2 linked regions of the Pelodiscus sinensis genome follow. The protein of the gene in region 2 binds, or shares a complex with, the protein of the main gene of each other region. Links are inferred from orthologs where the notes say so. Each region holds a gene or a part of one and is shown on either strand. Other genes may lie near its edges.

What was found. Proteins that work in one complex are often made in the same cells at the same time.
Region 1: SNRNP200 (region 2) and SCNM1 share a complex: the UniProt entries of both Homo sapiens proteins name them as parts of the minor spliceosome. The link is inferred for Pelodiscus sinensis from reciprocal best matches to the Homo sapiens genes SNRNP200 and SCNM1.

Annotation. Positions count from the first base shown.
Region 1 is NC_134734.1:15,658,472-15,666,511, reverse strand, and holds the start of SCNM1 (sodium channel modifier 1), read left to right. Parts: upstream 1-4,947; 5' UTR 4,948-5,100; coding exon 5,101-5,151; intron 5,152-6,534; coding exon 6,535-6,605; intron 6,606-7,829; coding exon 7,830-7,918; intron 7,919-8,040. Other genes in the region: LYSMD1 (lysM and putative peptidoglycan-binding domain-containing protein 1), read right to left, coding at 1-107, 1,914-2,215, 4,015-4,194. UniProt on the Homo sapiens protein: As a component of the minor spliceosome, involved in the splicing of U12-type introns in pre-mRNAs. Plays a role in the regulation of primary cilia length and Hedgehog signaling.
Region 2 is NC_134738.1:241,295-248,381, reverse strand, and holds the start of SNRNP200 (U5 small nuclear ribonucleoprotein 200 kDa helicase), read left to right. Parts: upstream 1-4,025; 5' UTR 4,026-4,138; coding exon 4,139-4,183; intron 4,184-6,920; coding exon 6,921-7,084; intron 7,085-7,087. UniProt on the Homo sapiens protein: Catalyzes the ATP-dependent unwinding of U4/U6 RNA duplices, an essential step in the assembly of a catalytically active spliceosome. Plays a role in pre-mRNA splicing as a core component of precatalytic, catalytic and postcatalytic spliceosomal complexes.

The DNA.
Region 1 (8,040 bases), on a different chromosome or scaffold from region 2:
TTTTGGTGAGCGGCACGGGGCCCAGCAGGGAGCGCTGCTGAGCGGAAGGAGAGGGCTCGCTCCGACAGGGAATGGTCCTGCTTGCTCCTGGCTCCATCCCAGCAATTCTGCAGGGAGAGAAGAGGGGGTTAGATCTCGGCAGGGGAATGGCCCCCACAGACAGACCCTGCTCGGGGATCCCTCTGCTGTGCCTTGCTAGGGAATGTGTGACCCAGCACAGTGCCCACAGCTGGGGCTGGGAAGGATCCAGGGCAGGGCGGGATTCCTAGGGGTGCAATAGACCGGAGAGGACCGAGTACAGATGGGAAGGAGGGACGACTGTAGAAGCTCTGTGGGATCTTTGTTCAAAGCCAACAAAACCCTCACATGGCTCGGGAACCTCGGGCAGAGTGTGAACCAGCAGAACTGGGGGCAGGGTGGGGGGGCCATGGCCTGGGGCTAAGACTGAGGGCCAGGAGCCCAGGGCTGGGAAAGGAGGGGGCTGCGGGTGCGGATTTAGGGGCTGGAACCTTGCTCAGTTCCGAGCAGAGAACTTCACCGCAGGCAACGGCGCCCTCTAGTGGCCCCCAAGTCTAGCGGAGCTGGCTTCGGAGCCGGGGATTCCCTGTACAGCAGCCAGTGGGGGGCCAGACAGTGGCCACAGGCTCCTCCAGCTACGCTCTGAGCCAAGGCACTGGCAGCGGATCCCCCTGCAGCTCTGCACCAAGGGGAGGACAAGAACCCGGCGGTTTCTAACAATCCAAGCCATACGGGGACCTCTGCCCCGTGAGCCACAGACAGTGACAGACTGGATCCATCCCACCTAGCGTGTCCTCCCCCTCAGGAGCGACCAAGGGCCGTTTCCCCTGGAGGGACCCAGGAAACAGCCTGGGACCCTGGTGAATTCCTTCCCACCTCGGCAGTGCGCAGCACGAGCCTGGCAGGACACGATTTCTTAGCTCTTGCCAGCACAGCGCCAATAGGAGATGAGGGGGGGGGGGGGGCAGGGAGGGGCCAAACAGCATCACGCTGCCGTGCGCGGCTGTTCATCACCTTCAGATAACTCCTCGTCATTCACGCGCAATCAAGCCTCTCCTCCCCGCGCCGGATCCCTAGCTGCAACGCCAGCGGCATCTGCACTTGCCTGGCCACTGTACAGCACGAGGAGGGGCAGGATGGGGGTTGGGGAGGCCCGGAGCAGCCAAAGCCTGGGGCATACATCACCTCTGCCCAGTCAGCAATGAAGAACCCCTCGCCGTCCCCCTCAGGCCTGAGCTCTCTTCACGTCAGCCCCCACCAGGATACTGCCCATTAGCCTTGGGGACCAGTGTTCCCTGAAAGCTGAGCCCCGAGGTGACCACCCAAGAGAGATTCAAATGCCACCCAGTGGATTAGCAGAGTGCCCTCCAGTGCAAACAGCTGGCAGCATGTTTCTATTGGTGGTGCACACTGACACATGCCTTGGTGCATATAAAATATATTCCTCAAGTGGATGGGAAAAAATGAGAGAGACCATTCTTGGGGACTCCTGATTAAGTCTGGGCCAGTGGGGAAGGAGCAGGCTAAGGGGCAGGACATGAGTGGGGTCTCACAGGTTTCGGGCTGCGGGCTCCTTTCTTTTTAAATGAGCACAGCACTTGATTTGACAGGGTTTTCATTTCTCCCCCCCCCCCCATGGGTTTGTCAAACCTGAGCTGCGGGTGCTCGGGCATCACTGCGCCTCCTATGGGAGGCAGCTGAAACTTGTGGGGTCCCCTTGCCCATAGCAGCCCACAGAGGATATCAGAGCAAACACAAGGGCAGCCGGCAGAGACTCTCCTTCTATGCTGTTAGCAGGGGCCTATGTGCTGGAGCAACAGGACTGGGGTTCCACCCCCTGCCTATACAGCCCGGGCACCACATTAGCGCCACAGTAACTGCAGGGTGGCACTCACGTTGTTTCCCCCTCTCTCAGCTTCTTCACCGCGGCCTTCTTGGACAGATTGATCTCGGAGTCGAGCTTTCGTAAGAAATCCGTGGCCGAGAGGTCATGACGGGGGGTGGAGCCTGCGCTGGCCGCAGAGCTGTTTTTCAGCACCAGCGTCTCCTTTCCCGTGGCAGGCTGTGTGGCTCCTTCCTCCCGCTTTAAGCCGTTCACCATCTCCTCGGGCTCCACCAGGACAGGGATGTGCAGTGTCGTCTTGAGGAAGATGGAGTCACTGGTGTACAGACGATTTGCCCGCTTGATCTGCTCCATCTGGGAAGGCACCATAAGACTTGTAAGCCCACTAGCCTGCGACAGACATCACCAACCTTCTCTATTCAGAGCATGGTCCTAAAAGCTACTTTGCAAGCTGGGTGCCTAATATCAGTCACTACCAAAATGCAGCCACTTCTGGGGTGGAGGGCACCAGTAAGCAAACAGAACACCACACAATGAGAGAAAGCAGGCACACAGCTGGCCTGGACTGCAAATGCTGGGTTTGTGCTGGCAGGGAGAAGGGCTGGAGGTCACTAGAGATTTAATGTTGAGGATGTGGGGGGACAGACTCCGCATGCTTGAGGCTCAGGTTTCAATGCAGCCAGATGAGTCTGTGCTCTCTCACTGGAGGGGAGAGGGCCATGCCATTGACAAGTCTGCTAGCGGGTCCACCCCACCGGTCTCCTATGCTCTGCTGGGGGTGGGAGGGATGAGGAAAGACAACCTGGAAACCCTTCACCACGGCACATGCCTCATCTCCAGCCCAAAGACCAAAAAACCCTCCTTTCTACCTTACTGGCTGCTCATTAGGTCCCTGCAAAATGAGCTGGCAGGTTCTCAGCACTGGCACTGAAATAAAGCTGGCCCCCTGGCTGGCAGCCCCAGAGAAAGCTCCCCTCTTTCCCTGCCCCTCCAGCTGCACGGCAAGGCACTCCTGCAGCGAGCAGCATGCATGTGTTCTAGGGAAGAATGAATTGCTGTGGTCAGGCTCCAGGCCTATCAAGGTTTAAACTGCTGAGGGCCACTACTGCCTGACCACACCACAGACAGCAAAGCTGGCCCGGCCCAGCCGGATATGTGTGTGTGGGGGAGGGGGGGGATTTTGTTCCCATCACCAGGGGAATTTCTGCTGCATACACTGAACTCCTGTGAAAACCACTTGGGGCCACAGAACACAAAGTTGCAAAATACAGGAAATGAGAAGGGTGCAAGTTCATGTGAATGCACAAGTGCACATTAGCCGGATCCCATCAGCCACATGAAGAGGCAACAGCACACCTGGGCAACCATGAGGAGACAGCAATTGAAGGATTGGAACCCTCAGACCTAAATCTGCATGAGACTTCAGACTTTCAGCCCTCCCGTGCATCCACCCATACTCCGAGGACCCCAGTGGGGTGCCCACTCCAAGTTCCATGATCAGGACGCTGGACTATGGCTTTGATTTTCTGCCAATCCCCTTCTGGAGTGCCATAAACTATTATGAATCATTAGGTGTATTGCAGAAGCCTCTAGGAGCCTCAGCCAAGAACCAGGAGATCCCACCACAGGGGAATCAGAGGTGCCTGGACGCAAGAGAGGTGACTCCTGCCAGCAGCCCCTCTTCTTAGGGGTGCTCATGATGGGAGCCTCCCTACTTCACCCCAGACATTCAGCAAACAAAAAAGCAGTAATGCTGAGTATTTTAGCAGAACTCCTCATCCAAGACACACAAAGCACAGTACAAAATGGGGTCCCCCTAATCAGTGGAAATCAATGAGGCCCCAAGCTGCAGGATCAGGGCTGACACAAGAAAGAAGGGAAGCCGGGACAGGTCAGGTATCGAGCACTTTACAAAAGGTACATCCATGGGAATAGCTTTTTTTATAAAACGGAGAAAAAGGTATAGAGTGGTGACCAGAAACCAGAAGACATGGCTTCCTGTTCCCTGCTCCATCCACAAGACCCTACTCCCCTCCAAAGCTGGGAACAGAACCCAGGAGTCCTGGTACTGCCCCCTGCTCCAACAGTGGGACCTCATGGGCACCCCAGCTACATCCCCCAGATCGCAAGGGGAAGCTGCTGCGCAGACCTACCGTGACGCCATACTTGAGTGCCAGCCCCTGCAAGGTGTCCCCCGGCTCCAGACGATGTTCCACCCTCCTCTCCCTCACCGGGGAGTGTGTCGACTTGATGAGGCTGCCGTAGGACCGGGTCCTGCTGCCACAGAGCAAACCAGCCCCTCCAGGGGATCCTTGCCTGGAGGGGGAGGCCATCTCCCCCCCCAGCCCCCAGTCAGTGGTGCAACCAGTGCAGGCGGCAGAGGGGCCTGGAGGGGTCAGGACTCCTGCCAGCACCCTCTTTCCTGAGGGGTGCTCATGGCAGAACGAACAAGGGCCTCCCAGGCAGACTAGGGACCCCCCACTTCTAGCCCCCCCGCTTCTAGCCCCCCCCCAAAGGGTCTCTCTCCGGTCTTGCTTCTTCTCCCCCCTCTCGGCCTCTAGTCCAGGGCAGGGGGCCACCCAATTTCCGCCCCACACTGCAAAACGCAGCCTGCACGGATGGGGGTGCAGGGGGTCCCTCGATTTCCTCCCCACCCCTTCCGCCGGAGAGGGATAAGGGGGGGGGGTTCCTCTATCTCATCCGCGCCGCCCCCCCTTTACTCGGGGGGAGGGGCAAATTACTCTCCCCTCCCCCCGGAATCCAGCCACCCCACGGACCCCGCCACCCCGCGCAGGGCAGCCAGAGTCTGCGCTGCCTCCGCTCCGCCCCGCCCCAACAGCGGAGCGGGGCCAACCCCCGCCCACTCCGCGCAAAGGCCTCTGGGAACATAGTCTCTCCCTAGCAAGCTCCTCCCCGCCTAACAACGCTCCGCCCCTTTGGAGGCCACAGGAGAAGCACAGCGGGGAACATCTCCCCCCTCCCCCCCAACCCAGCCACAAGCGTCGCCTCGCGGAAGCAGAGACGTGGGTGAGGACTACATTTCCCAGCATGCCCCTCGCCTTCTAGCCCTCTCCACGCATCACGGCGGTTTTGACCCCAGAGGCCTATCGGTGCCGAGCGCCCAGAGGCATGCTGGGAAGGGTAGTCCCGGAAGTGAACCGAAGAGGAAGTGCGGGGTGGCTCCAGTTGTCATGGTTACCGCCGGTTGGGAAGGGGTCTAGCCCTCCCGGGGCGCCGCCATGTCCTTCAAGCGGGAGGGGGATGACTCGGGCCAGCTGAATGTGCTGCAGGTGAGCGGCGGGGCGGGACACCCCGGCTCCGCCCCCCGACCGACCCCCCCCAACCACCACGGGCCCCACAACTCTCCTCATCCCCAGAGCAACTCCCTGAGCCCCTCAGCTTCCCCAACGCCGCCCCGCTGGCTCTTCCCGCAGCCCCTCCCAACTCCTGGCAGCCCCGTTCCCCTGTCCTCCCTTCAGCCTTCCCGCAGCCCCAGAGCGCCCCCTGCTTCCCCTCCCAGCCTCTCCCCGCCCCCCCTTCAGCGCCGCCACGCCCCCTCCCCAAAACAATCGCCTCAACTCCCTGCCGGCCTCCCATCCTCCCCCAGCCATTCCCCTGCCCCCCCCGACACTCTCCTGCCCCCACATTGTTCCCCCTGCTCTCCCGTCCCCCAAACAATCGCCTGCCCTCCTCCCAACCCTTCCCCCCAGCCCCAGAGCGACCACCCGGCTGCTTCCCTGCTACTCCCCCCTCCCCTTTACTCCCCATCCCCAGAGTGGTCCCACAACACTCCTCAGCCCTTGGCGCCTGCCTTCTGGCCCCCTTCTCCTGCTTCTATTCTTAGCCATTGCCACTGGTCTGCAGGATGACCTTGGGCATTTCACTGCCCTGCTCCGTGCCTCAATTTTCCCATCTGTAAAATTGTAATAATGATAATACCAGCCTCCTTTGTAAAGTGCTCTGAGTCCCACAGTAGAAAAGCACTAGATAAGATCTAGAGGTGGTGGTGGTTGTTCTATAGGCCCCTATCAAAATGACAATCCATTTTGGTCAATTTAATGGTTACAGGATTTTTAAAATAATACATTTACTTATTTTGGCTATCTAAATCTGAAATTTCAAGGTGTTGTAATTGCAGCAGGAGTTGTGGGGGGAAGGGACGACTGTGGTACTTTTCCCTTATTTCTGCACTGCTCCTGGTGGCAGTGCTGCCTTCAGAGCTGAGCATCTCTAAAAGCAGAGCTGCTGCCAGCAGCAGCACAGAAGTACGGATGGCATGGCATGGTATTGCTTCTCTTATCTCTGTGCTGCTGCTTGCAGGATGCTGCCTTCAGACCTGGGTGCCCAGCAACAGCCATGGCTCTATGGCCACTCAACTGTAGGCAACGCAGAAATAAGGGTGGCATTACCATGACACCCCCCCCCCCACACACACACACACAACTCCCTTTTTGGTCTGGACCCCCAATTTGAGAAACATTGATGTCTCCCATGAAATCTGTATAGTATAGGATAAAAGCAAACAAAAGGCCAGATTTCACAATGGACGGCTAGGTTTCATGGTCCGTGACTCATTTTTCATGGAAGGGCCCAATTCATCCTGGTGCCAGGTGCTATGCCGCCCACACCCAAAATATTGATTCCTCAGTAACGTGGCCTGTTCATTTATTCAGAAAAGAAGAGTTGCAGATCTGCTGGCAAACTATATCCCTGAGGATGAGGCACTGTTGCTAAGGAGCGGCAGGTATGTTAGATCTATTCTAAGGTAGGCAGCATTGTTCTGAGAGGACCATGTGCCATAGGAATCAGATTACAGATGAATCTTTGAACCAGTTCAATTAATTGATTACTGCATATATTTGGGGGGCTGAAGCTGCAAAATTGACCACGTGACCTAATGCACAGAGTACCAAAGTGGGAGGCAGGACACCTGGATTCTTCCTGTTCTGGTACAAACCTCTTTTGTGTCCATGAGCAAATCCCTTTATCACTCGGTGCCTTAGTTTCTCCATCTGTAAAATGGGGATAACAATGCTGCCCTTCCTTTCTCAAGTGCTTTGAGATCTAGTGATGAAAAGCACTTGATAAGAGCTCGCCTAGGGGTGGTGGTGTTTATTAAATGTTCTGATCTGGATTTCCAGCATTCAGAAATGTTTTGCTCAGGCCCATTATAAAAATAAAGATGGTCTGTAAAACATAAACCTGGATCTAGCTTTGGACTTGAAACACCACCAAAATCCAGGGTGCAGTGCATTGAGGCTGATCTGGGGTGTTTTGTTTTTTGGGTTAGTTTTCATTTTGGCTTTGCAGAGAGTTCCTGTTTCCCTTCAGATATAAAAGAGCCACATGCCCCCAAGAGAGCCTCTGGCTAATATTACAGACTCAGACAGGTGTCACCGAGGTGTGAGGGATTACTACAGAACAGTACAGGGCAGTAGAAATCATGTGCAACATAACAAGCGAACAGAGTGAATACAGCTTTCAAACTTTTAAATGCCTAGCAGAGAATGAGCATAAACCAGTGGCCATGGGGCCAGGAATTTGGGTTTCAGTTCTTGACTCTCCTTGGTTGTCACTTAAGTTCTGACCTGTTTCCCTAAATTTCAAACTGGAGATGATAAAATAAAGGGCATGTGGTCCAGCATCCAGGACACTGGTGTGGGAATCATGACTTGTTGGGCAAATCTCTCAGCTTCCCCACGTGTAAGATGGGGTAGTAACATTTATCCTGGCTAGCTGTGCTCTGGGAACCTTGGCCAATTATATTTGTAGAAATCCCACTGTGTTGAATGACTTTGAGGACCATGGTCATTTATTCTAGTGAATGTCTCTCCCACTTGCAGTATTACCAAGTGCACTGTCTCTTAATGCTAATAAGAAAGGCTGGGCCCAACTGCCCTAGCAGGTATGCATGAGGGGGCAGGGATTATCCTGGCTTGATCTGACCATCTTTCCTCTTCTTCCTCAGATATGCCTGCACAGTGTGTTTCCACCGTCCGGTCTTCGACACACTTGACATGCTGACAGTCCACAGGGCTGGCAAGAAACATGTAGCTAGTAAGTCAGCCCCAAGGGCTCGGTTGCTCAAGGAACTGCTGATCCTGGGTCGTGGGGATGGTGCAGAAGGAAGAATCCAGCTAGACTCCCAGAGCTCAGGGGCAGTTGGTGGTGCTGGGATG
Region 2 (7,087 bases):
ATACCTGCCCTTGGCCATACTCACCTCCCCGCACCATCAACTATATCCACCCCAGGCCACAGGCCCTCAGTCATACCTGCCCTGGGTTCTCAGATGTACCCACCACTGGAGCCTGGGTTCTCGGCCATACCTGCCCTGGGTTCTCAGCTATTCCTGCCCCTGTACCTGGGTTCTCAACTGTATCCATCCCAAGTCCTGGGTTCTTGGCCACACTTGCCCTGGTTTCTCACCTGTACCTTTTCCAGGCCCTGGTTTCTCAGCTGTACCCATCCCAGGGCATGGGTGTTGTCCTTAAGAGTACTGCATGAGGGTATGTCTACACTAGAAAGTTAGTTCGAACTAACGGACGTTAGTTCGAACTAACTTTCCTATGCGCTACACTAGCGCTCCGCTAGTTCGAATTTGAATCGAACTAGCGGAGCGCTTAGTTCGAACTAGGTAAACCTCATTTTACGAGGACTAACGCCTAGTTCGAACTAGCTAGTTCGAACTAAGGGCTGTGTAGCCCTTTAGTTCGAACTAGTGGGAGGCTAGCCCTCCCCAGGTTTCCCTGGTGGCCACTCTGGCCAACACCAGGGAAACTCTATGCCCCCCTCCCGGCCCCGGACCCCTTAAAGGGGCACGGGCTGGCTACGGTGCCCGTGCCAGGTGCAAGCCTGCCAGCACCCAGCTAGCAGACCCTGCACCTGGCACGGCACAGAGCCACCCACCCGATGCCCCCCAGCCCACCCCCTCTTGCCGGGACCAGGCTGGCGGCTCCCGGGAGCTTGCCCTGGACCGCAAGAGGCGGGCACCTTCCTGGGCTAGTGCGGACATCGTGGACCTCGTCCACGATCTCCGCACTAGGCACAGGAAAGTGGCCGTCTAGGGCAGGAGAGCTGCCAGCCTGGCCACCCAGGACCAGGTGTGCATGAAAATCAAGGGGGTCCACTGAGACCCCCGACACTGAGCCCTGAGCTTACAATGGCCGTACTGGGTCAGACCAAAGGTCCATCTAGCCCAGTAGCCTGTCTGCCAACAGCGGCCAACCCTAGGGACCCTGGAGGGGATGGACCGAAGACAATGACCAAGCCATTTGTCTCGTGCCATCCCTCTCCAGCCTTCCACAAACTTTGGGCAGGGACACCACTCCTACCCTCTGGCTAATAGGACTCCATGGACCCAACCTCCATGACTTGATCTCACTTCCCTTTAAACTCTGTTCTAGTTGTAGCCTTCACAGCCTCCTGCAGCAAGGAGTTCCACAGGTTAACTATTTGCTTTGTCAACAACAACAACTTTCTCTTACTAGTTTCAAGCCTGCTACCCATTCCTTTCCTTTGGTGTCCTCTAGTCCTTCTTTATGGGAACTCAGGAAGAACTTTTCTGAATGCACCCTCTCCACCCAACCCCTGCTTTTAGAGACCTCTATCCTGTCCCCCCTCCGTCTCCTCTTTTCTAAGCTGAACAGTCCCAGTCTCTGTAGCCTTTCTTCATCTGGGACCTGTTCCCAACCCCTGATCATGTTAGTTGCCCTCCCCTCTCCCAGCCTTTCTCTTCCCCTCTCCCACCTCCTTTTCCCAGTCTCCCCCAGTTTTTTTCAATAAAGACAGAGTCAATGTTGGAAGAAACGTTATCTTTATTTTGTACATCAATAAGAAGGGGGGCTAGGGAAGGGTAAGTGGAAGGAGGTGAGGGAGGTATGGGGTACGAGCCCCCGATGGCGAGGACTGGGCTGGCTCTGCGGGCTTCTGGGGGTGGAAGCTCTCCTGCTGCCCCCCAATTACCCCCTCTCCCCAGATGGCAGCCTGCGGCAAGTGCAGCCGGGGTGATGGCCGAGTGGTGTGATGTGCTCAGTGTGGGCACTCAGGGCACTCCAAGCCAGAACTTCTTTGCAAGCGGGGCACCCCTGAGAACTGTGTGTCCGGGGTGGGGGTCGGGACCCTTTAAGCGCAGCCCTCGGCTAGCCTGAGACAGCATCTCCATGCTCTAAGTCCTCCTTTTATGCCCTGCCGGCACTGCTTCCGGCCAGCCTTAAGCCCTGTTCAGAGTCCACTCAATGTGGACTTACTAGTTCGAACTAGCAAAACGCTAGTTCGAACTAGTTTTTAGTTCTAGATGCGTTAGTTCGAACTAGCTTAGTTCGAATTAACTAATTCGAACTAAGTTAGTTCGAACTAGCGCTGTAGTGTAGACGTACCCTGAGATCTTTTCAGGGCAAAAAGGCAAAACACCATATTTATTGGTAGCACATATATCAATCAACACTTATCATATGCATATGATAACACAAGCACACCCCATCTTCTTGTTGTTACCAATAATTGTTCCCTCTAACTGCACTGGCCAGGTGAGTTAGGTGGGGGAGGGGTAGAGGGCTTCTGCAGATCTGGGTAGGTGCTCCCATGTTGACAAGACAAAAACCCAGGGTCCCTCTGCAAGATGCCTTAGATTTATAGTGTCTTCCCTCTCCTGCAGATCTCCACCAGTTGGTCATCACATGCATATGCATCATCTGTAAGAGTCATCATATGCATATGCAGTTAAGTGATAGAAATGTAGCCGTGTTAGTCTGGGGTAGTTGAAGCAAAATGCAGGACAATGTAGCACTTTAAAGACTAACAAGATGGTTTATTAGATGATGAGCTTTTGTGGGCCAGACCCACTTCCGAAAGCTCATCATCTAATAAACCATCTTGTTAGTCTTTAAAGTGCTACATTGTCCTGCATTTTGCTTCATATGCAGTTAAGACATCTGTGGCACCTTCTTTTGGGTGGTGTCTCAATGCTGCCACATTCTCCTTCAAAGAGGGTGCTTCCAAAAGCTGGCACTTGCTGCTGACTCCCAAAGTGTCCATATGTCCACTCATCTTTCAATGAGCCCACTTCACAGATCCCATTGTTCTTCTCATTGTTCTTGGATCTGGCTTCCACCCCTCTCCAACCTTTGCAAGTGTCCAGAGGTGGTTGTCTTTCATGCCTTATCCATTCACACCTCATTCACTCAATAGGACAATCAATTACGCAAAACGGGGTACAAAGTCTACAAGATACAAGGTTTCTATGTAAAAAGACTTAATACAAAGTTTCTATGTTCTATATGAAAGTATACAAAGTTTCTATATAAAAGGACTTAATGTAACAAAGCTAAAGACGTAATACAATGCTAAAAGAACTTGATACAGAGTCAATTGATAAAAATGTCAATGAGAAAATAATTAATACAGAGATTAATGAGATGTATCTACATGGGTTCTTGGCTGTACCCACCCTAGGTTCCCGACTGTACTTACCCCGGGCTCTGGGTTGGGTTGTACCCACCGCAGGGCCTGGGGTCTTAGGTTATACCTGCCCTGGATTCTCAGTTGTACCTATCCCAGGGTCTGGGTTCTGGGCCGTACCCACCCTGAGTTCTCGACTACACCTGCGCTGGATGCTCATTTGTACCCACCCCAGGATCTGGCTTCTCAGCTGTACCTGCGCTGGGGCCTGGGTTCTGGGCTGTACCTGCGAACCCGGAATGTCCATGGCCCAGCTGTTGCCTGGGGCTACGAGAGGTCAATAAAAGGGCTAAGGGGCATGGGCTCTGTGCCAGCTGAAAGTTACCCCTCCCAGGAGCCAGCACCGCCTCGCCTGCGCCCCGCCACCCGCACTGCGCCCAGCAGGACACCGCTGCGCAGCGCGCTTCCCTGCATCCCCCGCCAGCTTCTTCGCATCCAAACAAAACCGCGAAGAGGAGGAGCCCTGCCCCGCCCAGACCAGACCAATGCTCCGGGGGGCCAGGAGCCCTGGGGCCATGCGCATTGAAACTCTGCCCACCCTGCAAGCGGGAGCTGATCCGCCTCGGGGGCCACGTGGGCGCTTCCTGCCATCTGAGCACGCGCACGCCTGATGGACACAAAGCCCGGCCCGTCGCTAGGCAACGCGGGGCGTGTTCGGGCCAGGGCCAGCTCTTCGGGGGCGGACCCATGACGTAATATCGCATGGCCCCCTGGCCGGGGGTGATGACGTATGGGCGAGAGGGCCTCTTGAGAAGCAACGGCTCGTTCTTCAGCACTTCCGGGGTGTTCCGGAAGTACTTGCTGCCTTGGTTCGGACGTGCGTGCGGTGCTGCGTTTCCGCTTGGTCGCGGCCGGGGCCGGGTAGCTGAGGCGGCGCCATGGCTGATGTGACCGCGCGGAGCCTGCAGTACGAATACAAGGCGGTGAGTGGGGGCGGGGAGAGCAGTCCCCGGAGAGGGGCGCGGGCGCCCGGTTTTGGGGGAGACGACTAGGCTCTGCCGAGCTTTTCTCGGGCGGCCGGTACATTCCTCACTCCGGTTCCCCCTCGGGGGAGGCCTGCCCGCCTGCTCCCTCAGCAGGTCCAGGGGCCTCGCGCTCAATCGGGGAGACTCCCGTGGACAGCAGGTGGGGTAAAGACTTGTCCCAGCCCTGTGGGTGCTGGTGCATAAAGGTCTCTAGCATCTGCTTTAGTGTCCCATTGAGCCTCGCCCCAGCCTGCTGAGGCTGCGTATTTCACACCCCAAACTTCTCCCACCAGCACCAGAGCAGGGCTGACATAAAGTTGAACCTTTGGTCTGCAAGGACCTCCTTGGGAAACCCCACTCTGCTGAAAATGGTTAGCAGTGTGTCTGCCTCAATAGAAGACCGAGCCACTGCCTCAGAGTAGTGAGTAGTGAAATCTTCCCAGTTTGGGTGGCTTTCCTGAAATGTCCCACTATATCCTTAGCCATCTTCTGGAAAGGCTCCTCTTATGATTGGCAGAGGCCTCAAGTTGGCTTTCCCCTTGTCCTGGGCCCTCCCTATCCTGTGGTAAGGGTTGCAGGACTGTTGGATAGCATCAAAGATTCCAGGCCAGTAAAAGTTCTGTAGCAGCCACTGCCTGGTGTGCTGGAGACCCTGGTTTCCCGAGAGTGGGATGTCACAGGTCAGGTACAGTAGCCTTCCAAGGTACTTTTTGGGAATCACCTACTGCTGCTGGACCCCCACCCCCTGCTATGACTCCACTTCCCTTGGGGATGGAATCCATTCCCGGTTCAGGAATCCCTTCAACCACAGGAACCTCTCCTTGCATTCTTCCCCCAGCAGTTGTGCTGCACTGAGGCCAGCCAGGTCCCTCAGCTTCTGTAAGGAGGGATCTTTCTGCAACTCAGCCTTGAGTTTAGCAGCCAGGGAAGGGATGGAGACCTGTTCCCCTTCACAGCCTGGGTCTGACATCACAGCAATGCCAAGCCTGGCTGTTGGGAATTTTCTGCCAGTGTAGGGCCCTGTGCCCCCTTCAGGTTACCCTCACCAGGGCAGAGTGCCTCTTGCTGGCTTTGGCTAAGGGTAGTGACCAGAACACTGTGGGGTCCTTCTTCCAGATCACTCCCCATCAGCACCCCAGTGGGCAAGTGATGGTGCACCTCCACCTCTTTTGGGCCCTTTTAGCCCCCCCATTTCAGGTACTCTTGCTATGGGTACCTTGAATGGGGTCCTGTCTATGCATGTCAAAGTCAGGTGGGCATTGGGCATCATCAAGTCTGGTGCCACCACCTCAGACTGGGCCAGTATTACCATAGCACCCTTGTCCCAGTGCCCCATGATTTATTAGGCAACAGGGACATAGCGTAGAACAGGCTTGTCAGCAGAGCAACCAGAAGCAGTTATTGCAATCTGTCATGTGGGGGGGAGGGCAGAGCCAGGGCCTCCCCCTGCAAGGTTCCCGCTAAGTTTTTCCATTGTTGAGTGAAATAAATGTATGTGCACTGAGAAATGTGCAGATGTGCACCACCAATAGAAACACATGCTGTGGGCACTCTGCTAATCAGCTGGGCAGCATCTGAATCTCTGCTGGGCAGCTGCCCAAGCACTCAGTCTACAGGGAACACTATCCCCCTGCTTCCCTAAAATAGCTGAGATTAATCTACATCCCCAGCAGTCTTGTCCCAGTCCCCAGCTTGGCCTTTTCTCCAGTTTTTGTCCTGCTTCCTGGGCAGCAGGTGCTCTTTCTCCCCCACCCCGCTTAGGTTACAAAGGGCTTCAGCCATTGTGTACATGTAGGCAGCTGGGGTAGCTGCCTTCAGCTATGGGAATTTTGGGTTGTATTTTCACTATCTAGGTATTGATGTAGTGCTGTGAGAAACTGAGGCACACACATGGGATTACCATAGGACAGTAGCATTCACATGCGACATCATAAAGTGAATAAAAGCCCCCAGTTTGTCATACCATTCCTTTCTTTGCATCCCTCACTGGGTTAATTTTCTTTATTATATCCAACATAAGCTACTGGTAAAAAAAATTAAAAAGCAGAGTCCTGCAGCACTTTAGCAACTAACAAAAAATATAGATGGTCTCTAAAGTGCTGCAGGATTATTGTTTTTTACATTTTTTTTTTTCAGTTACAGACTAACATGACTACCTTCTGAAGTGTATAAGCTACTTGTATATGCTTTCTAGGCGTTTGAAGTCATTTCCCTCTCTCCCTCTAATTTGCTCTTGAATAGTTGATTCCTACTTCTGGTTGGCTACTGCTACCATCGACTTCTTAAATTTCCAGGCAAGCATTGCCCTGCTTTCCCTGTACTGACCCTTTTCCTTGTGACACTACTTATAAATATCTGCAAAGCTACCTCATTTCTTTTCAGATCCCTTCTCAAAACTGTTTTTTGCCGTGAGGCCTACAAAAAGCTTGATTGCTAGTGTGCTGAGACCACTATTGATTGTCAATATTAACTCATTGATTCTTTAAGCTGTGCTAGTTGTATCCATGAGGAGTTCCTAGTTTTATACTTGGATTGTAAGCTTTTGGGAGCAGAGATTGTCTTTTGTTTGTATAGCACTTGGCACCACAGGGTCTTGGCTTATGACACTAGGCACCACAGTAATGAGGATAATGTATAGGAATTTGTTTGATTTCTTCACACCTCTTATCTGCTCTTGTGATGTTATCCCTTTCAGAATTCTAATCTTGTACTGCAAGCTGATCGCTCCTTGATCGACAGGACCAGGCGAGATGAGCCTACAGGGGAAGTGCTCTCCTTGGTTGGGAAGCTGGAGGGCACTCGAATGGGGGACAAGGCTCAAAGAACAAAACCCCAGATGCAGGAAGAGAGACGAGCAAAGTG